Linked DNA regions of Notamacropus eugenii. The protein of the gene in region 3 interacts with the protein of the main gene of each other region in a pairwise test. Links are inferred from orthologs where the notes say so. Each region holds a gene or a part of one and is shown on either strand. Other genes may lie near its edges.

Region 1 (7,585 bases), on a different chromosome or scaffold from region 3:
GGTGGAACCTTAATCTAGTCCATACACAAAGAGGAATTCCTACCATAACAATCCTTACCTTCTGTGGAAGACATCCAGAGAGGCAGAAGTCCCTTCTCCTACAGTGCTTCCCACCTCCCTTGTGGCAGGCCATCCAGAGGCCCCTAGGGGACTCTTTTCTCCAAGCTTTTCCTTGGATTTTTAAAAATTTATTCCCTGCCTTGTATTTCAAGGCCAAATTCCAGGAACTCCTCACCAACTCCCCTCCCCCAAGGGGAATCTCTTTTCTTCTGGGAGTTTCATCAAGGTCCATTAGCAATAATCCCCCCTGCAGAGAAGTCTTCCCAGACAGCCCAGGGAACAATCTGTCCTTCAAGGACCAGGTCACAGGCATCTCCTTCTAGGTAGCCCCCAAGGCCATTGAGCTCCCTCAGAGATCTGATCTGTCAATGAGAGGGATAGGTTCCCCAGCCTGGGGGGGGGGGGGACTTCGCAGGGGAGCTCCTACTCTGGGGAGGAGGATTGAACAAGAGAACTGTAGAGCCAAAGAGAGCACGGGGTGAGGTAACCCCTCATTTTACAGAAGCCTGGTCACAGGTCAGAGGTAATAAGTGTCTGAAGCAGGATTTGAATTCTGGTCTTCCTGACCCTACATCTAGCATTCCTAGATGGCACGAGGCTGGGCACAAAGACCTCAGTTTTCTTCTCCTGAAGATTCCAGAGGGGAGAGGGGCAGTTCAGAGTTGGCCAGTAATGAGTTCTGGCCTAGAAGGTCCCTAAGGGCCCTTTCAGGCCTCTCCTCATTCCCTGGGTGGGAGGGAAGCTGGATGCTTAGGTGTGGCTATTGGAACACCTGGGACAATGGATCAGGGAGGCCAGCTTTCTGAGCCTTATGGCCCAACTGCCTCCTTTATCCAAGAAGGCCCTGGGGCAGGTTCTGGATAAAGAGACAAGAGATGGGGTTCAAAATCCAATGCCCTCTCCCTGGGGAATGCGGGGGCAAGCCTCACCAAAGAGGACCAGCTTGGACTGCAAGGTGCGAAGGTAGAGGATGTAACAGGCTCCGAAGAAGACAGCCAAGGCCACCAAGAGCATGGGGGACGAGACCCTGTGGGGGCAGTGGGTAGAGACTCAGAGACTGCCTGGAGACAGCACTGGCCTGGTGGAGGGCCAGGGTCACAGGCTGGGACCCTGACCAGAGGGCGGAGTTTACAGCTTACAGAGGAGGCGCCTTGGGGCGGGGCTCCCAGCTAATCGAGCAGACTTCTCAATAAGTTTACGCCCTGGGGGAGGTGGGGGTCTCAACCGAGTTTGCTTCCTGAAGGCAGGTTTGCACCTCTGTGTCACAGGGGCCAGGGGCTTCTCCTTAAGTCTGCGCCACGGGGCGGGCCTATACCCAGTACGTATCTGACAGACCAGTGGTGGCTAGGTCTTGGGGAGGAGCGGGGCTCACACCCAGTATGTATTCTAGGGGCCAGTGGTGGCTAGGTCTTGGGGAGCAGCGGGGCTCACACCCAGTATGTATCCTAGGGGCCAGTTTCGGCCAGTGGCTAGGTCTTGGGGAGGAGCCGGGCTCACACCCAGTATGTATCCTAGGGGCTAGTTTCGGCCCGGTGGCTAGGTCTTGGGGAGGAGCGGGGCTCACACCCAGTATGTATTCTAGGGGCCAGTGGTGGCTAGGTCTTGGGGAGCAGCGGGGCTCACACCCAGTATGTATCTTAGGGACCAGTATCGGCCCGGTGGCTTGGTCTTGGGGAGGAGCGGGGCTCACACGCAGTACAGGATGAGGCCCAGGAAGACGAAGACGTAATTGCTCTGGTAATGCTCGACGTTGCGCACCAGGCGCTGGCACAGCTCGCCCAGGTTTCGAGGCTTCGAGAAGCGCCGCTGGTCCAGGAAAGGGCCCCAGGGTCTGATGGTGGCCCGGCGCTGCTCCAGCCACTCCCGGCCGGCTGAGCCCGCCGGCATCAACTTGGGCAGCAGTGTCCTAGCGCAGACAAGGAAAGTGGCTCGGTAGGGGATAAGGTCCCAAAGTGCAGCAGGAGGTGCGGGACCAGGACACGAGTCCCGAGGCGCACGTCGAGGGGATGAAGGAAGAAGGATGCCCGAAGGGGGCAGAACTGGGACATCAGGATGCCTGAGTCCCGCTGCCAGGAGCTGGGCATGAGGAGTCAAGACAGCTGGGTCTCCGATAGGAGTCGGACACTAGTCAAGGCACTAGGGTTCCCCAGGGAACCACGGGGTACGGCTAGGGATCTGGACACCAGAGAAGGAGGTAGGGCTAGAGAGGACAGTGCCACCACTGGGGCACGGACTGGGGGTCTGAACGCCAGGGTCCCAGAGAGGACTTTGGGAGGTTAGGATATTGGGTGCTGGGACAGCGAGGTGCCTGGGAGGTGAGAATGGGGGTCCAAATTCCTATGTCTTGGGGTGGGGCTGACAGCACTTTCTGGGTCCCAGGGGGTGGGCTGAGCTCTTGTAGGGTTGAGGAAGGAGGTGTGAGACTGGGCATCTGAATTCCTGGGTCCCAGAGCATGGGATGGGGGTCTGGACCGCTGGATAAGGGGGTAAGGATGGGGGTCCGGACTCATGCAGGGTTGGGGGAGGGACGGCACTGGGCGTCTGAATTCTTGGTTCCTGGAGGGCGGGGGTCCGGACCCCTGGGTGCCGGGGCATGGGGGCCCACAGTCCTGGGGTCCCAGCTCACTTGGCACTGAGCCCCGGACTCTCCTCCTCAGTCCCGGGGTTAAAGTCGCTTCCCGCCGCCATCTTCTCCAGCTGCTCCTACGGCTGTGGGGGGAGAGCAGGGAGAGCCTTGTTGCTGCCTCCAGGAGGCACCCCCCCGGGCGCACGCCCCTCCGCATCCTCCCGGCCCGGGCCCCTCTAACTCACCCCCTGCTGCTGCCGCCGCCGCCGCCGCCTCCGGATCTGAAGTGGCTGCGGGACCGTTTGTCGTGGCCAGGAGGCTGCTGGGAGTCGTAGTCCGAGGGCTGTGGAGGGAACTCGGGCTCTTCTGCGCCGGATTCTGGCCTACCAGAAGGAGAGGCGTGGGAGCAAGGCATCATGGGAGTTGTAGTTCGGAGCGGGGGAGGGCTTGGTAGGCGTTCTTTGGGGCTCTCTCTGGTCCTTTGATCCTAACTCTCTAGGACTATAAATTACAGAGAATGTGCCAACTTACATAGGTAGAGGGAGTTTCAGTTAGTGAGAACTGGTGAGGGAAGTTAGGTACAGCTACCAAGTGATTAGGAATTGCAAAAGAGAGTGTAAAGGAGGTATTCATTAGGTTCTAACCAAGTTAGTTGAAATGACAAGGAATTGGAAAGTTGAGTACTGAAGATCTCATTGGCCTCGATTCCTTCTTTGGATCCCTAGATTCCTCCTTCATAAAAATGATTAAAAGAGGAAAATAGAAGACATCTTATTATATTTTGGGACTTTTTTGTAGGTCTTAGATAGCCAAAAATCTTCTGAAGGCTTTGGGTCCAGAAAAGATTCCTCTTCAGAGGTATTTATTGATGTTGCCAAGGAAGGATGACTCCATTTCCGACTACTTGTCACTGATCAGGGTAACACATTCAATTGTAAAACTATTCATAAATGTCCAAACTAGTTAAACACATAGCAAAGTAACCTTTAAGTAACATCTGTAGCTACTCAAGGCAAAAAATCTGCAAGAATTCAATTCATTTGCCTACTTTTTTCCAGATTCAGACATTTGACTATTTTGAAATGTTCTGACTGGTTTTGAATTTCGCACTTTTATCCAGATACTAAAACAACATAGATGCAAAGTTCCTGCAAAGAAAGGAACGTTCTTTGATCTGATTGGTATAGGGTGGTGCAGTGGATAGAGCACCAGTGCAGGAGTCAAGAGGACCTAAGTTCAAATCTCACCTCAGACACTTGACACTCACTAGCTGTGTGACCTTGGGCAAGTCACTTAGCCCCAACTGCCTCATCCTGGGTCATCTCCAGTCATCCTGATGAATATCTGGTCACTGGATTCAGATGGCTCTGGAGGAGAAGTGATGCTGGTGACCTGCACAACCCTCCTTCACTCAAAACAAAGTCAAGTGCAAGTCATGTCATTATGGCATGGTTTTCTTTGGCAACGAAGGACAAACACACACACACACACACACACACACACACACACACACTCTGATCCTTAAGGTGACTTTGGGGAAGTGGATCTTTGGTTGTTGCCCTTCATCTTTCAAAAGAACCAAAATGATATCACTATGATAAAGTGAAATTTCAGTATGTCTGACTGTGGCTGATCAGACCAATATGAGTTCGAAATGCTCTACCACAGGTTGGGCACAGATAGTCCGTGTAAATTTTGGGGTGGATGTCTCAGATTTGAGCATCCTACATTTACTTTGTGCTGTTTCAATTCTGCTTTGCTTAAAGAACACAGCACTTTTTCTTAAGTGGGCACACCATGTTGAGCGGTCCTGTGCCAGTGTCTCCCATGTTGCACAATCAAATCCAAAGTTCTTGAGAGAGACCTTGAGAGTGTCCTTATATCATTTCTTCTGCCCATCATGTGATCGCCTGCCTCATGCGAGTTCTTCATAAAGTAATCTTTTTGGCAAGTGTACATTTTGCATTTGAACAATGTAGCCAGCCCCTTAGAGTTGTGCTCTCTGAAGCGTAGTTTGAATACTTGGCAGTTCAGCTCGAGCAAGGACTCCAGTATCTGGTACCTTATCCTGCCAGGTGATCCTCAGAATCCTCCTAAGACAGTTCAAGTGGAAGCGATTCAGTTTCCTGGCATGGTGCTGGTAGACTGTTCATGTTTCACAAGCATTGTAACAATGAGGTCAGTCAGCACAACAGCTCTGTAGACCTTCAGTTTGGTAGTCAGTCTAATACTCTTCTCTCCCAAGCTTTTCTTTGGAGCCTCCCAAACACTGAGCTAGCTCTGGTAATGCATGCCTCAACCTCATTGTCATTATGTACATCCCTGGAAAGTACATTACGAAGGTAAGTGAACTTATCTACAACATTCAAAACTTCTCCATTTGTTGAAATTGATGGTTCCATGTATGGATGGTGTGGTGGTGGCTGATGGAGCACCTGTGTTTTCTTGGTGTTAATTATTAGTCCAAAATGAGCACAGGCAGCAGAGAATTGATCCATACTTTGTTGCATCTCAGCTTCAGAGGCTGCACTGAGTGCACAGTCATCTGCAAACAGAAAATCATGCACCAACATTCCCTCCACTTTGGTCTTGGCTTGTAGCCTTTTCAAATTGAAGAACTTACCATCAGTATGGTAGTTGACCTTGATGCCGTGTTCATCCTCATTGGAAGCATTTGTCAACATGGCTGAAAACATCATGCCAAAAAGCATGAGAGCAAGCACACAGTCCTATTTCACTCCATTAGTGACCGGGAAGGCACAAGAGCTTTGTCCATTATCCAGAACCCGAGCAAACATGCCATCATGAAATTGATGTACTATATTGATAAACTTCTCTGGGCAACCAAGTTTTGTCATAGTTTTCCATAAGCCCTCACGACTAAGGGGAAGTGGATCTAGGATAATATGACAGTTGTAGTTCCAGTGTCTGAAGGAGCAGGGCATTGTGGGAGCTGTAGTCCTTAGGCCCAAGAAATGGACACGCCTTAGGTTGTTGGAATTGTGGGAGCTGTAGGGTAGGTTGTAGCCCTCAGGCAGAGGGCATTGTTAGAGTTGTAGTACTGAGGTCCAAGAAATGGACGAGGTCTTGGATCGTTGGGATTGCGGGAGTTGTAGTCCTTAGGAGTAGGGTAGTCGAACTGATTCCAGGGTAGTGTGGAGAGGCCCTGGTGTGGTGGCAAGGGCTGTCCTCCACGTGTAGCCTGAGTGTGTCTGGGTGGTGGCTCTAAAAATAGGCATCTCTAGCTTTTCCTCCCCATTCTTGTGGGGATGTGGAGAGAGGATAAGGGGAGAAGCAAGAGGGTAAGGCCAGAGGCTGACCACTCTGCTCTCCTCGGAGAGAGGGTACCAGGCTGGACTTCTCTATCTGCTCCTTCAGTCTTGTCATCTAGGGAATGTGATTGTCAGGGGCTGTCTAACTTCTGATGGCTCTCTCATTATCGGGGGAGAGTGGGACCCCAAGGTTTGTATCCAAGACTTGACTCCTTTTCCATCAAATGCCAGGTCCACAATGAACACACACTGGAAGTAGCAAAGAGACCCATCTCTATCCGAGTGGATAGAAAATCACATCAGAGAATGTCTATGTGGGAGAATCTACACCCAACAGTACAGAGGGAAGGAACTCTCCCATTGGAGCGGGGTAACAGCTGAAAGGAGAGAGAGTCCTAGATCTCACCATGGGGAAAACTCCCCAAAGTCTCTAGTGGGGCAAGGTGGGGACAGGGCCACAATGGAGACTTCCCTTTCTTATGCTGGCTTCTCCCAAGGCTTTTCCTTCATCCTGAAGTGGGGTTGGCATCAAAGCTAGAAACTAGAAGTGCCCAAGGGGATGGAGAAGGTCAAAAAGACCCAAAGCTTGAAGAGAACCCAAAGAATGAAAGAGACTAGAAATCTCCTCCTCCTCCAGTTGGAAAGAACCTCATCCCTTCTCTTGGGAGAGTGGTAGTCATAGGATTTCAAACTGTAAAGCACACACGTGCTTATAAATGGGTAAAGGCAAGAGAGGCCTGTGTTCTTCAGTCATTTCCTGTTTTTCATAGACCCTTTTGGGGTTTTCTTGGCAGAGATTTTAGAGTAGTTTGCCATTTCCTTCTCCAGCTCATTTTACAGATGAGGAAACTGAAGCAAACAGGGTGCAATGACTTGCCCGGGGCCACACAGCTAGGAAGAGGAGTCTTCCTGACTCCAGATCTGGCAGTCTATCTGGAGAGGTCTTCTCTGGTTTCCCAGGACTCCACAGGTACATGAAGGTGGCTATGGCTGACACACGGTATGCTTTGGAAGCAGTAGTCCTGGACCTCAGGAAATAATTGGAAACATAATTTCTGGCAATCTGATGTATATATTGACAAAATAATAATAACGGAACATTGTAGGAGCCTTAGCATTGGTCCATTGACAGGGGTGCATGGTGATAAATGTTGAACAACTGACTGAAAAAAATATACTCAGAACACACATTTACATTTAGCCTTCACCATTAACGTCTTGTTCATCACTTTCTTAAGTCTGAACAATCCACAAAACAGTGAATCCAGCCCTGCTTTGTAGCATTTTCTGATTTCCAAGGTGTCAGTATTCATGCTGAAAAAATAATAATCAGCTGTCAGAGCCAGAACGAGCTGCCCCCAGCACACCCCTGCATGTATTGCATTGTGGCCCCTGTGGTACCTCGGAGCCTTAGTATTCAGACACTCAATACATGTTGTGAGTCACAGGATATGGAACTATGCCAGGCCTAGAGGCCTGAGGGCTACCCGAGTCTTACCTTACCTATTGCAGGTCTTCGGCTGGCCAAACCGGATAAACGTATGAGAGAAGAGACTTTCCGGAGTCGAACAAGGGTTAGGCTTTATTCAGGGTCCTGGTTACATGTGCAGGGGGAACTCTTCCTTAGGAGAGAGAGAGAAATCTCCCAAGGAGGCAAAGATCTTACAGTAAGAGAATGAAAGCAGAA
Region 2 (7,819 bases), on a different chromosome or scaffold from region 3:
AAAAGATCTTCAGCTAAGAGGTTGGGGAGGGGAGAGTTTAGGAGGCTTGAAGAAAGACATAATTTCAAACAGCTTCTGTGGGGAATGAGATAATGAGAATTCTGCACAATTGTCCTGCTGACTGAGGGTAGGACCTTGCACAAATCACCTCTGCTCTGTGGGCTCCAGTTTTCTCATCTCTAAGGGGAGTTAAGTTGACCTCAGTATTTTGGGGTACTGAGGAGCGGTAGGGCTTGGAGCGAATAAGATCTGTGTTCGAATGCCCCCTCTGCCACTTGCTAACTGGGTGACCACAGTCTGAGTTTCAGTTTCCTCATCTGTAAAATGGGGATGATAATAATACTATCTGCCTCACTGCAGGTTAAAGTTTGAATAGGAAATAGTAAGTATAATAAAGCACTTTAAAAACCTTTCTATATTGAACAAGGTTTCCAAGTGCCTTTACTTACTTGTTATATCTCATTTGAGCCCTACAACTCAGTAAAGTGGGTGCAGTTATTACCCCCATTTTATAGAAAAAGACTCTCGGAGAGGTGAGCTGACCACAGCTGACCTCTACTAACAACTAGCAGAGCCAGCAACTGCAGCCGGGTCTTCCTGATTGCAAGTGCAGTGCTCTAGCCACTATACCTTGATCATCATCATCTGAGGGAGCTGGGTAATCATGAACAAGATATTTCACTTTCCTGGGTCTCAGTTTTCTCCTCTGAAAACTGGGGAGATGGGGAGGAGAAGGCATATTCCATTTAATTCAACAACCTGCCCTCTAAGAACTTACATCCTACTAGAGGAAGAAACCTGTACAGAGAGGTAAGTGAATGCAAGCTAATATGGTCTCTTCTTGGGCAGCTAGGTGGCACAGTGAGCCTAGAGTCAGGAAGACTTGAGTTCAAACTTGACCTCAGACATTTACTAGCTGTATGACCCAGGGCAAGTCACATAATACTGTCTGCCTGCCTTAATACTGTTTCCTCACCTGGAAAATGAGCTGGAGAAGGAAATGGCAAACTACTTCACTATCTTTGTCAAGAAAACCCTGAATGGGAGTCTCTTCTGGCTCTAACAATCTATCAACTGACATGTAACAAGTAGCTAGAATTTATATAGTTCTAAATTTTACAAATGTTATCGACTTCAATCCTCACAACTACTTTGGCAGAGAGGTGCTGTTAAGATCTCCATTTTACAGATGAGGGAACTGAGGCAGACAGAGGTTAAATGACTTGCCCAAGGTCACACAGTAAGTATTTGAGGTCACATTCAAATTCAGGTCTTCTTACTCCAGGCCTCATCTCTACTCTGCTACTTACAGAGAAGCTCAACTGAGAGCTTTACAAATTCAATTGAAAGCAGTGTCAGGAATATGCTAAGTATCTGAAGCACCAGGAGGGAGAGAATATTGGAAGTGCTCCCCGAAGTTGGTATGAACTGGAATCACCCCTGGAATCAGCCTTGAGACATAGGGTGGGTTGTCAGAGATTAAACTTGAACTCCCTGGCCCAGCCTCCCAGGCTGGGCTTTGGCCCCTAGGGCTGTCTGCCAGGGCCTTGCACAAAGGCAGCACAACCATTCTGTGCTCTGTCCCACGAAGCCAGCCACCTCCTCCCCCTTGCCCCAGAGCAGACCAAGCAACTGGAAGGACCAGAAACAGATAATCTGGGGATCTCCTTCGAAGAGGGCCCCAAAAAGGGAGAGAGCCTGGACCCAGGCTCAGTAGACCTCTGGGTGCCCAAGTCAGACTTTCAACATGGCCTCTCTCAGAATGTGCCTGGCACAGCACTCTCAAAGTCCAAGAGCTGGGGGATATCAAAGGGCAAGATGATATGATACTCGTCCCCACCAAGCAGGGTTTCCCAGATGGGCCCAGGAAAACTCCTAGAAGGGTCCTGAGAACAGAGAACTAGACCTGACTGCCTAAAAGTCCTGGAAGTAAAGTGTCCCTAGGAGGCTGATCTGCTCCATTAGGACCAGACAGGCTAGTTATTGGTAGTACTGGCCCCACCTCTCAGGTCCTCCTTTACCCGAGCTAAGCTGCTTTAGCCTCAGGCACTATACTGTCCCCTCCCCCATTCTTTCTGGCCTTTGTGTGACTTTAGGCAAGGGTTGGTTTCCCCCTCCATTAACAGAGAGAGCTACACTAGATGGCCCTAGATCATTTCCCAATTCTGTGGTTCCGTGTTCCAAGGTTATTCTACAGTTGTGTGATTTGGGGTCCTGAGCACCAGAATAGGGCTCTTCAAGCTACAACTCCTATAAATACGAGGGAATCTTCCCCTACCTACTTGCCCCCTTGGGAGGGACTGCAATCCAGGGGTGATGCTGGAACTTTTCCAGCTGCCGCTGTGGGATGATAGCAGATCAACCCCCAACCCATGACATTTCAAGCCAGTTAATTAAAGGTGGTGGAGAGAGGACAGAGAATATGAATTACCAAGGGTAGCAAGTACAACAATTTCCATAAAGAGCCCTACCAGGAACTAAGAGGTTCGGGTTCTGGTCTTTTCTGAACAACCTAGGGAATTCCCCTTATCTCACTGGGCATTGGCTTCTTCATCTACAATATGGGGAATGAGATGCAGCTTTTCGATTTCTTAACTCTAAGTTTCTATGGCCAGAGGATCTCTGAGCGCCCAAGGTTTTATCTGGAGGAGGGGGCCCGGAGGTCCTTACCTGTAGCCATGTAGTACTTTCTGACCCCGGTGACTTCCTCCAGCTTGCCCAGGACATCGGTGACAAAGTTTTTCTGCTCCAGGAACCTCTGGAAGCGCTGCTTCAAGCTACCCATGGCTCCTGGGACCGAGGGGGGAGGAGAGGGGACGGAGGATGACTGGACCCGGGTCCAAGGGGCGACCTCCAGGGCTTCCCCGCTGCTCTGCAGCGGTGCTGGTGGTGTCTCCCTCTCCAGGCTCCCAGTACCTCCACTCCTCCGGTCCCCCGGTCCCTCCCCTTCCTTCCCTCCCTCCCACCTCGTGGTCCTGCAACTGCTGGGGACGACCTGAATCCGCCCCCTGACTATAGGATTGGACGGAAAATCGAGGCGGGGCCTCGGTCGGCCCACCCTGCCCACACTGGCCAATGAGAACGCGGAACGGACAAAGGAGGCGGGACTTTTCTCCCAACCCGTTCCTGCCCCTCCTCGCACCGAGTGCCCCGAGCCACCCACCTGTGAGCTAGGCGGGAGAGAAAAGAGGGGGCTGGGCCTGGGAGAGAACTGGGACGCGGAGGAGACAGGTAGGCGAGAGGCTAGGGGAGACCCAGGGGAGACCAGGAAGGCCCAGTTCTTTATTTATGGGCCCCCTCAAGGTCCACAAGTGCCAGGTCTCCTAGGTAAGTTAACGTCCCTCCCACTCCCAGACCCCAGCCAGTCTAGGCTCCTCCCCACCTCTCCTTTCCCTCTCCCTCTCCTTCCTAACTAATCCTTGGGCTTCCAAACTCATTACTCCCACACCTGGAGCCGAAGTACCCCGGTGAACCAGTCTTATGCTTCTCCCCACCCCCCAGCCTCCACCCTGGTCCATTTTACATTCCAAATTTTTCCTCCCTCTTGACATCCCATGAAGAAGTTCCACTTAGTATTCTGCACACAGCAGGAGTTCAATAAATGTTTGGGAACGCAATGTGATGTAGTGGAAAGAACCCTGAATTTGGAAACTAAAGACCTAGTTCATTCAACAAAGATTAAATGCCTCTGTGTATGGCACAGTGCTCAGTTCTGAAGGTCAGGGACACACAAATAAAAAGTATACAATTCCTGCCCACAAGGAGCTTGTGTTCTAAAGTAATAGAAGATACATGTACACTTACCAAGTTGTGTGACCCTGGGCAAGTCACTTAATTTCCTTCAGTCTCAGTTTCTTTGTCTGTAAAATTCGAATACTAATAGAACTAGCTCATAGGGTTGTTGTGAAAAACCAAATGAGATAATATGTTCAAAGCTTCTTGTCAATTTTAAAGCATTCTGTAGTAAATACTTGTTTTTATCTTTATTATAAAAATGATACAAGAAAGGGAGTGGTGCCCTATTTTGTTGGGCAATAAAATTCAGTGGAAAGGTTACCTTGGAAGTTAAATCTAGTACTTCATTGAAGTAGGGCAAAAATTCTGAGAAGCAGAGATGGGGAGGAAATGCATTCCAGTTATGGGGGGTGGGGAATGGAAAGAACTGGAGCCAGTCCAGGGAGATAGTAGCTCTTTGAGTTTGAGAAAACAACAGGACAGTTTACCTGGAATATAGAGCTCCTAAAGAGGAGTGATAGAATGTAAAAATGAATTTGGAAAGGTAGGTTGGAGGCAGATTATGGAGACTGAGAAATTTGTATGTTAGCGTATAGGCAATAGGGAACCACTGAAGGTTTGGGGTTGTTATTTTTAAATTTTATTTATTTATTATTTTAGGCAATGGGGTTAAGTGACTTGCTCAGGGTCACACAGCTAGCAAGTGTCTGAGGCTGCATTTGAACTTAGGTTCTCCTGACTTTCAGGGCCAGTGCTCACTCCACTGAGCCACCTAGTTGCCTCCTGAAGGTTATTTTTAGCAAGGGAGTGATATGGTCAAATTTGGACCCTAGATAGATGGATTATCTTGGCTTTTAGTATAAGATAAATTGGAGAAGGGAGGGTGGACAGGGAGATCAGTTAGGCTAGAAGTGATGAATCAATCAGTCAGAAGAATTTATAACATCTACTACGTGCCAGACACTATGCCAGGGACATAAAGACACAAATGAAAATACATACAAAATATACACATTATAAATCCAAGGTTACGGGCTAGGGGAGGAACCCTAGTTCCATGGTAGGGGGGAGGGTAGAAATACCTCAGATAGGAGGGAGGGCACAGCCAGTACAAACATCAAAACAAAAGATTGTACAAGGAAATTAACAAGCAAATAGGGCAGTTCAGCTGGACCATCCAGTGGTCCGAATTAGGGTAGGAGCCATGATGAAGCTAGAGATGGACAAGATCAATGTATAGGACTTAGGACATGATTAGATGAAATTATTAGAGCAGAAACAGTCAAATTCCAGCTCTGCCTCTTGCTAAAAATCCCACCCTTTACAGGAAGCCTTTCTCCATGGCACTAAATTCTAGTGCTTTCCCTTTGTTGATTATCTCAGATTTATCCTGAATACAGCTTGTTTATACGAAGTTATCTTCGTGGTGTTTCCCCATACAATTAGATTGTAAGTCCTTGGAGAACATTTGACTTTCTTTACAATGCCAGCTCTTAGCACCCAGTATCTGGCACATTTATGGACTAACCGATTGACTAGCAAAGCAGTGTGACTTTGGACAAGTCAGTTCAGTTCCCTTCTCCGTGCCACACTTTGTTCCTCTTTAAAATGGGGATTTCAGTATTTGCAGGGTATACTGTAAAGTACTATAGAAAACTCTAGCAGTTGCTACTGAATGACTGAATCAACTCAAATCAGAGAAAGCCCATAATTAGCCTCAGGCCACCCTCTTTGCCACTAATTAAATGCTCTCTGGAAAGACCTTTTCTGACTTAGAGATCGAATCTAGTGCCAGGGTGGGGAACCTACTTTTATTAAGGGGATTTGTTCGGTGAAGTTTGGATTCAGTTAAAGGGCCACACTTGAAGACGTGGAGGGTCACATGTGGCCTTGAAGCCGCAGTTTCCCCAACCCTGATCTAGTGTAACCTTCTCTTTACACAGAAGACTACTGAGAGTCAAAAGTGGGGCATGACTGGCCCAAGGTTACACAGCGAGACTGATGAAATCAGAAGTCGAACCTGGTTCTCCAGGTTAAGAATGAGGATGGAAGAGGGAACTAGAAGAGAGAAGGTCCTATCCTGTTCCCACTCCCCTGGGGTGTCTCCTTCTCCCGGTAGTCCTCCCCCACTCCCCAAGGCACCGGGGGCCGGTTTCCCAACCCGATCCCCGGCCGTATACAGTTAGGTGGTCGCATGGCCCCCTGGGAATGAAGCCCCCCCCCCCCCGGGGGTGGGGGGAAGGGGTTGCCATGGAGCCGAGAAGAGGCGTCCAGGGATCGGGGGTTGCTTCACTCTGGTTCCCAGGGGTCGGGGCTACTCCATTCTTGCCGGGGGGTGGGGGTGGGAGGAGGGGGCATTTAAACAACGCCCCCCGGGACCCTAGAGACTGTTTGTCCGGTGGAAGGGGCTTCCCCCGGCCCCCGACTACCATGGGGCTGGGCTGGACCCGGCTGAGGTTGGTTCGGACCCTATTTCCGACCTTGGTCCTAGCCCTGGCCTTAACCCGGGTTCTAGTCTCCATCTCCCCAGAGAAGCCCAGACAAGAACTAGTGACCGGCCGGGGTCGCGGCCGGCGTCGAGGGGGCCACTTCTCAGCGGTCCCCATCTATGTTAGCAGTTGGGCTGTGCTGCTGCCTGGAGGCAGCCAGGAGGCCGAGCGCTTGGCCCGAAAGTTCGGCTTTGTCAATTTGGGGCAGGTAGGACACCCGGGCAGCCTCTCTAGGGCTCTGGGTTCTGCCAAGGGCATGGATGCCACCTTCTTCACCCCTCCTGGCCTTCAGGTGGGAGCTTCTCAAGCCTTCTCACTCCACCCCCACCCCCAGGCACAGTCTCCTCCCCATCCCCCAGCATTCAGCCATTGTACTGCCCTCTCCATACGTACTCTGATCCTCCCTGGCTACCCCCTCCCCCCAACACTGGCACAGATTCCTCCCGACACCATTATACTTTCTCATTCTCAGTAAACAAGTTATTAAGCCATTCAGCTCTGTGCTGGGCCCTTGCTTTGCAACAAATGAATTTTTAAAAGGTACTGACTTAGGGGGATAACATGTACTCACTGGGGGGGGAAACCCAATCCCTGACCTCCGATAATTTTGAGAGATAAGATAAAATTGTTCACAAATCAATGGGATACTAGGTAGCCAATTCTGACAGAAAAGCTGCACCTAACCTAGGATGCCTTACCCTGCAGCAGAGTGGAGGGGAGGGAGCCAGGCTGCCTAGCTAGAAACTGGCTTTGACAGAGGGACTGAGAAGGAATACGTGGAGCTGGGTTTTGACCAGGTAGGATTTAAAGTACCTGTGGGACACCCCGGTGGAGTTTGGAGCTCAGGAGAAAAGTTTTGCTAGGAGCTGGCCTCTTTGCCAAGTGAATACTCTTGTTTATACACTTTGCATTCCAGCTGAACGGGACTGCCGACTCTTCTGCCAAATCCATGGGCTGTCTACCATCTTCCTGAGTCTGTCTCCATAAGCTCTAGCCCTTGGCAACTGGGGCCACTTCCATGCCTTCCGTTAGCTACTTTTTTTTTTTGCTTTTATACATTGCCATTTTTTAGATTATTAGATATTTAGATATTAACAATGGAGCTAGAGCTGAAAGGGACTGAGTGTAAAATCAATTTCACAGAGGAGGAAACTGAGGCACAGGTAAGGATGTAGCTTGCCTAATAGTAAACTTCAGAGGCAAGAACTCAAGCTCCAGAGCTAGTAATTGAGAAATCTGGGCCTCCTCCCCCTTGCCCTGGCAGACTTTGTTACTTTAACCCTAGTGATGGTTGAAAATTATTCCTCTACTGAGGCTCCATTGTTAATACTAAGACTTGCAACTTGACTACCTGATAAATTAAAAGATAATATTTAGAGGGAAGGGAATTTTCTGGCACTAAAACATAACATTGTATAAAAGGTAAAAAAAAAAAAAAAAGGTAATGGAAGGAGTAGAAGTGGCCACAGTGCTTTTTTTTTTTTTTTTTGATTAAAGGGATCATCCCTTGAGCAACTGCTTAAAGAAGTCTGTTCATTGAAGGGATGTATCTCACTCAAAGTGAGAATGCTAGCCCTAAAAGGGCTATTGCATCC
Region 3 (7,446 bases):
TTGGAGGAAAGAGTAGGCACTTCCTAGTTGGAGGGTGGGGGAGTGGGGCAGAGCAAACAGGTACAATTCCCTGAAATCAGAAAAAGAGGTGTGAGGTGTCCTACTCTCCCCAAGGGTGTGTATACAATAAAGGAACACGGAAACGATAACTGATTGATCAGTTTTCAGATAATACATATGGATTGCTTGAAATGTACAATTGTAAGAAAACTCCTTGCATCAGTCTTTGGTACATCAATCTCTTTCTGATCAGCATAACCAATGTCCTTAATTAGGGGTCTCCAAGCCATAGGTAGAGGCGGTCCGGATTCTCAAACACATGGGGTTAGGTTCAAACAATGCAATAAGGTTTTCTCCCAGTTTCCACAGTTGAATAGTTTTCTCACAGTAGAGAATTTGGATCAGACCCATAACGGAATAGAAAGGGAACTGAGTTAGCTTCAGAACTGAGTCATAAGATGGAGTCAGTGTGGTTCACTCAATTTCTGCAGCTAACCACTTGCTGTCCTGATGCGCCTCGGTTCCCTCATCCTGCTCAGTATGGATCTTGTATCTTCCTATTTTTGACATTAGAATGTAAGATCCTTGAGAGCAGAGACTGGGTTGGAGTTTTTTCCTTTCTTTATAGCCCCAGTGCATCTTAATAAATGCTTGGTGATTGACTGAGTTCCCAGAGATCATGGTTTGCCCATTATTATGGGTTGCTCATATAATGGCTTGCCTGTTATGTTTAACGTAACAACGGTGGTGATAATAGCTAGTGTTTCTAAAGCTGTGGTCTACAAAGCTGTATGTTACCTTATTTGATTCTCATGACAACCCTGTGAGGTAGGTACTCTTATTATCCCTATATCACAGATGAGGAAAGCAAAGTCGAAAGAGGAGATGTGATCCCATTTGGAATTCTCTTGGTGAAGAAATTGAGTGATTTGCCATTTCCTTCTCCAGCTCATTTTACAGATGAGGAAACTGAGGCAGTCAGGGTTAAATGTCTTGCCCAGGGTCACACAACTAGTCTGAGGAAGGATTTGAACTCCCATCTTCTTGATTCCCAGATCTAGTGCTCTCTATCCACTGTGCTGCTTAGCTTTATCAGTGACAAATAAAGAATTAAATATTCTGATTATTACATTTGCAGATGACACAGAACTGGGAGGGATTCAAAGAGATGTTGTCAGATTGGAATATTGGGCTGATTCTAAGAAGACGAAACGTAATAGGAACGAATGTAAAGACTCACACGTGGGCTCACAAAAGTTAACTTCATAGAAGATGAAGGGGGCATGGCTAGACCACTAGTTGACTGTTGGGAGTTTTATCGGGTTGAAAATTCAATAGGAGTCAAGGGTATGATTATGGTAGGCAAGACAGCTCAAAGAGACTCAGGTTTCACTAAAAGAAATAGAGGGTCTGGGACTAGAGAGATGACAGTGCCATTGTACTATGCCCTACTCAGGTCCCATCTAGAGAATCACTACAGCTTGGGTGCCTCCATTTCCTCATCTGTAAAATGAGCTGGAGAAGGAAATGGCAAACCACTCCAGTATCTTTGCCAAGAAAACACCAAATGAGTCATGGAGCATTGGATACAACTGAACAACAAGAAAAGCAGAGGTTCTTAACATGGGGCCATGGAGAGATTTCAGAAGGTCTATGAACATTAATGACATTGTGAGCTCCTTGACGGCAGGGACTGTTTGACTACCATGTATAAGGAAGAATATTGCTAATTTGGAGGGGGCCCAGGAGAGAGCAGCCTTATGACGGGAGGTCTGCAGCCCATGTCATACAAAGGTGTGTTGAGAGAATTGGGAAATGTTTAGCCTGGAAAGTATATAAATGGCTATGAAATGGAAAGGGGATTGTTAGACTGTCTCAGGTCCCACGGGGCATATCCAGGAACAATGGGAGGGATTGCAAAGAGGCAAATTTGGGCTGGCTATTGGGAAAAACTGCTGACCATCCAACCTGAACATCCCAAAGAATGAGAGAGAGAGAGAGAGAGAGAGAGAGAGAGAGAGAGATTGTGTATAATAAACCCAAAGCTCTGGTTTGGGGGCAGAGGTTACAACAATACGTATCTGAGAGTTCAGGCTTTCAAGGGGGAAGTGTGTTTGAATTCTGCAAGGCATAAAGATTTTGTACTCTGAGACTCCAGCAAGGCAAAATGACATCATTATTTCTTTCCTAAGCATTCATTTTAGTAAGGCAAAAGCACTGTGCTTCCATCTATCATCCCTCTCTGTCTCCCAGGTGGAATCCCCAGAAGTCCTAAGAGGAGAATGTGGATGCATATAGCCAGATGAGAAACTGTCTAGAAGGGAAGTGGGAGGATGTATTTTTAGAGTGCACTATTTTATACCTAAGGATGCTGAGGGGCCCTCCCCAGAGGGTACCTCACAGCAGCCTGGGCGTCTGTAGCATCCTGAGAGGGAGCAGAAATGAGCCAGTGATATATCCCTGCCCTTATTTGCAGGGCATGAAAGGAGTAGAGCATGCTGGGAGGATGCCACTTAAAAAGTATCCTGGGAGGCATCCAGACACTGTAGGGAGAACAATTCCCTCCTTCAGATTGAGAGGGATGGATGTGGTGTCCCCAGGAATGGGTACAGGCACAAGGTAGATAGCCATCCTTTCAAAGGGGATGGATTATTATTAACCCACCCGCCAGGAAGCCCTGAAATACATCACTTTGTAGGACCACAATGGAGCCAGTGAGTGGGGCAGACCTATGCTGAAATCCTTTTGTAGAACCTAGAGCTCATTACTCTTCCTGACTGTCTCTTCTCCCTCTGGACTCCAGAGTCTCTGACTGGTATTATTATGGAAAAATAATATTGGTTTCCTTTTACTGATATATTTTATGCATTTGAAGATCTGATTCTGAGAAGGGGTCCCTATGCATCCCCAGATTGCCAAAGGGGTCCAGGACACAAAAAAGTCAAGAATCCCTGATCTAGTCCAGTCTTCTAATTTTATAGATGAGGAAACTGAGACTGAGGGAGATGAAATTTGAAATTTGAACCCAAATTCATTCATCTCCTGAGCTAACGTTCTTTCCACTGTACTTTTCCTCATCTCTAAAATAGTGACTTGAAATTAAGTAACATTTGATGTCCTCTTCAAGAGTTAACATTCTAGGAAATGCTGAAGAGATTCATGCCTATTTAGAATCAAGGCAAAGAATGTGAGAGGATGATTCACAAAGAAGCCAAAGGCAGGAGGATGATGGATTTAGAACTGACAAGGAACCTCAGTGGCCAACCTAGTCCATTTGTGTGACCACCGCACGTGCATACACAAACACACATCTTCATTTTACAGATGAGGAAACTGAAATTAAATGACTTACCAAAGGTCATAAGCTAAAGATAGAGGTGAGATGGACAGTGATACATATTTGTATTTGCATACGTATTTGCAAGGCATCAATAAAAATTATTTTTGAAAAGCAAAAAAATACATTTAAAATTGATACATAAAGATATGCATATCTACATAGTTTATGCATACTTATATTTACAGATTTCTATATTATGTTTAAAATATATATTCTAAATACCTATTTATGCATAATATATAAACAATAATTTGTAATATAAAATTATATATACTACATATACTAATGATTTATAATTTTTACACACACCTACATGGAGAGATTGTCTTGCAGTATCCATCCAAAAATTCAGTGTTTTAAAAATATCCTAGGATTTCCAAACCCTCGTTTATTGAAGCAGTATTCCATGCATCAAAATTCAAGTAGAATTAGAGACTTCCTCAGACTTCAATGGGATTTCCCAACTATCTTTTGAACCAAACTTGGCTCTTTCCCTTTCTCCATTTCCTGGTTCTTGAAGGAATCATAGAAGTGTTAGTAGAAAGAGTACTGTGGGTCAGGAATCAAAGGATCTCGTTTTAAATTCTGTTCTTGCTACACTTTCCCATGTGCCCTTGAGAAAGGCCCATGCCCTCTGTGGGCTTCAGTTTCCTTGTCTGTAAAATGAGGCTGTTGGACTAAAGTCACCTTCCTCAGATACCCTTCTAGCTCCAAACCTGACACTCTTCTGTATATCTGAGGAAGTGTTTCCAGAGAATTGGCCTGTTGGCCACATGGCCACCCAAGCTTCAGGGCAGCCCCCTGCCAGAGGGGTTTAAGATCCCTGGGAGTTCTGAGGCTGAAGTCCCTTCAGCCAGGCTAGAGTGAGGATAAGGCAGCCAGACACAGGTGAACTCCAAGGGTGAACAGTCCTGCATCCTCAGATGTGTTACACATAGGCTGAAAAGAGAGAAGCCAGGTCCCCCTTCCTGCTCCCAGACCAGTCACCAGACCTGCCTGTGCTTGGGTCATTTCCATGGAGACAAGAGAACCTTCGCTCAGAGGCTCTCAGTGGTCTTCTCCTGCTTAGGGCCATGGCTTCAGCCTGCTTTGGACGCCTTATTTCCCTGGGCTCTCACCGATCTGAGATGAGTAAGGGCCCCTTCCCTCTCCTGAAAAGAGGTATGACCAGGTCCTGGGCCCACTCGCTTCCCCAACCCCCCAACCAGGGATGTGATAATTAAATGGCAGTTGGTGCCTCTGAGGTCCCATCCACCTCCATATTCTTCTCCCTCTGGTTCCCATCCAGAGACTCAAGGAAAGCTCTCAGCAGTGGGCAGTGTGGCTTCTCTCCCTTCATGCCCATCCATTTCTACCATGGCGATGACCACTTTTGAGCAGGGAAATGATTTAGGGAACCTAGCCTTGTGCTCATGGGTTTTGTGTGATCCTGGGGTAGTCCCATGACCTCTCTGAACCACAGTCTCCTTATCTGCCAAAGGAGGAAAGTCCTTCCTATCCATCTAGCTCATAGGATGTACAGAGCTTGCTTTGTATGTATGTTTGCTCATTGTCTTCCCCATTAGATTGTAAGACCTCGAGGGCAGGGGCTGTCTTTTGCCTCTTTTTGCATCAGGATATCCATCCCAAATATTCAAACAGACTATCTGTGCCCAGCGTGTGATACAGCATGCCGAGCTCACGTTGGTCTGATCAGCCACAGTCGGACGCACTGAAATTTCACTTTACAATGGTGATGTCATTTTGGTCCTCTTCAAAGATGAAGGACAACAACCATCCCCAATGCTTAGCGCATGGTAGGCACTTAATAAATGTCTGTTGAATTAAGTTAAATTGAACAGGATGGTTGTGAGGAGAAAATTCAATTCAGCAAACGTTGGGCACCTACTGTGTGCTGAATGCCATGCTCACTGCAGGCAGGAGGTTGAAAACTCTCATGGAACTTAGATTCTAATGGAGAACAAAAGGAAAATGGTTTGGTAAGCAACAGGTAAATAAACCTGCAATAGACTTGCAGACTAGTAAAAATAATAGCTAGCATTTATATGCATGTCCCTTTAATCAATCAATAAACCAATAGTAAGAGCCTACTGTGTACCAGGCACTATGCTAAGTACAGGGGGATACAAAGAGACAAAAGATGATCCCTGTCCTCAAGGAACTCAGAATCTGATGGACATTTAAGGTTTCCAAGGTTCTTTACATATGTTCACCTCACTTGATTCTCCTCACAATGCTGGGAGGTAGGTACTTCTATTTCTTATCTCTCTTTTACTGATGAGGAAAACAGCAACTCAACTTCTGCCTCCAAGCTCAGCCCTCTATACACACATCATATATCCAGCTGCCTCAGTGCTTCTGCGTGAGACCTGAGGACATAGATACAATGGTTTTAGAGGCAAGAGCTGGAGAAAACCTTTCTCAATAAAGGCATGCCAGCAATCCAGCCCCTGTGGCTGTTTCCCATAGAAGAGAACCTCTGAGTAGTCATTGTGGTTCATAGCCTGTTGAACTGCTGGCCCCTGGTGGTTAGAACCGTTGGTAGTGTGAGAAACCATCCACCACCCTGGTTTGGGTGCCAGCAGTTTCTCCAGACTTCATCATCCATCAAAGTACCTTGGAGCAGAGGTGCCCACATCATCTGGGGGCACTTCAGGAGCATTCCCATCTTCCTTACTAGGAATTTTATGAGAGTACAGACCACTGCTCTGGGCAGTGAGTACTCAGGGAACATGTCCCTCTCCTTTCTCTACCAATTTGGTTCTCAGAGCTAAGTTTCTGGGGAGGCACCGAGACTGTCCAAATGGCTCACGGCTCTTAAACCCACTTCTCCAAAGGACTGTCTTTGTGTGGGATGACCAAGTGCGAGGGGAGGAGAGAGGAGATCAGAGACCTCCCTTCCTCTCACAGTCCCAGATAACTGGGATGTGAAGGAAGTTGATAACTTCATAAAGCATTTCTAGGAGAGCTGGGCATGTGAAGTCTTAACAGGGAGTCCATCCATCAATTGCCAAGCATTTAAAAATGGCGTGCTAGCTGTTTCTCCCTCATGGGCTAGTCACTTGCTAAAAATTATGGCAACTCTAACCCTCAGTTCATGCTTTGAGGCTTTTGTGGCCCTTGGGACTTGGGTTATTTCACTTAATCACTTCGTTATCATTCTGTTCTCCAGATCAGAGTGGAGTTAGTCAACAAGCCTTTGTCTGTTGGTCAGGCTCAGCGCTAAGTGCCAGATACAAAGAAAGGGAAAACAAAAAGACCATCTTTGTCCTCAAAGACCTTACCTTCTATGAAGAGAATACGTCAAACAAGGTCCATACAACGTGAATATTCTGAGTAGATGGGAAGGGAAACCAGGAGAAACTGGGACTTGAGCTGAGACCAGGAATTTAGGGGATCCTAGGCATTGGGGGTAGTCAGTGCGAAGACACAGGGTGGGAGATGGAGGGATGTGGTAAGTTGTCCGTTGTAGAGTCCATAGAGGGTCAGGTAAGCAGAATCTGCCCACATCAACCAGTTTGAGATAGTGAAGAGGAAGCCAAACTGAATGGCATCCAAAGCTACTGTTTTTGGTGTAGATGAGCAGTCATGCATGGTCCAGACAGAAGGAGAGATCAACATTGGACAGAATCCTTGGGACATCTTTATGTTGAGTGTGCCATCATCAGAGGCAGCCTGATGTAGAGAGAGCTGGTCACAAGGTCCAGTAAACCTGGGTTCTTGTCCTGCCCCAGCACATACTGGGTGCATCCTCCTGGACCAGACAATGGCAGTCTCCCATTGCCCCCCATTGACTCTAAGACTACAAAGTTGGGGAATCATTGCCAGTCTGCCCAAGTGGAGGGAGTTTCCACAAAGGAAGTGCTGTCTGCTGATGGAATTGCAGTCTGTGGGTTTCTGCAGTAATTTTCTTCTGAGAAACTCCAAGTCCTTCAATAAACTATCCTGACGTTCACCCTTATAGGGTCCCCATCAGGTGCCCACCTGCTCAACTGAATGGCCAGAGGTTAAGTCGTTTTTCTAAGGGTGAACAATTATCCTAATACATGGGTGCTAGGTAGCACCATAGTGCAGAGTGCCAAGCCTAGAGCTCAAAAGACTCATCT

What was found.
Region 1: the proteins of NDRG4 (region 3) and RABAC1 interact in binary tests that used the Homo sapiens proteins (3 or more experiments, as listed by UniProt). The two-hybrid records come from large-scale screens. The link is inferred for Notamacropus eugenii from reciprocal best matches to the Homo sapiens genes NDRG4 and RABAC1.
Region 2: the proteins of NDRG4 (region 3) and REEP6 interact in binary tests that used the Homo sapiens proteins (3 or more experiments, as listed by UniProt). The two-hybrid records come from large-scale screens. The link is inferred for Notamacropus eugenii from reciprocal best matches to the Homo sapiens genes NDRG4 and REEP6.

What each region holds. Positions count from the first base shown.
Region 1 is NC_092876.1:25,773,637-25,781,221, forward strand, and holds the start of RABAC1 (prenylated Rab acceptor protein 1), read right to left. Parts: upstream 3,030-7,585; 5' UTR 2,872-3,029; intron 2,770-2,871; 5' UTR 2,749-2,769; coding exon 2,687-2,748; intron 1,967-2,686; coding exon 1,751-1,966; intron 1,088-1,750; coding exon 990-1,087; intron 1-989. UniProt on the Homo sapiens protein: General Rab protein regulator required for vesicle formation from the Golgi complex. May control vesicle docking and fusion by mediating the action of Rab GTPases to the SNARE complexes.
Region 2 is NC_092875.1:62,873,886-62,881,704, reverse strand, and holds the start of REEP6 (receptor expression-enhancing protein 6), read right to left. Parts: upstream 3,030-7,819; 5' UTR 2,786-3,029; coding exon 2,671-2,785; intron 1-2,670. Other genes in the region: PCSK4 (proprotein convertase subtilisin/kexin type 4), read left to right, coding at 5,944-6,432. UniProt on the Homo sapiens protein: Required for correct function and survival of retinal photoreceptors. Required for retinal development.
Region 3 is NC_092872.1:715,566,053-715,573,498, reverse strand, and holds the start of NDRG4 (protein NDRG4), read left to right. Parts: upstream 1-4,376; 5' UTR 4,377-4,413; coding exon 4,414-4,501; intron 4,502-7,446. UniProt on the Homo sapiens protein: Contributes to the maintenance of intracerebral BDNF levels within the normal range, which is necessary for the preservation of spatial learning and the resistance to neuronal cell death caused by ischemic stress.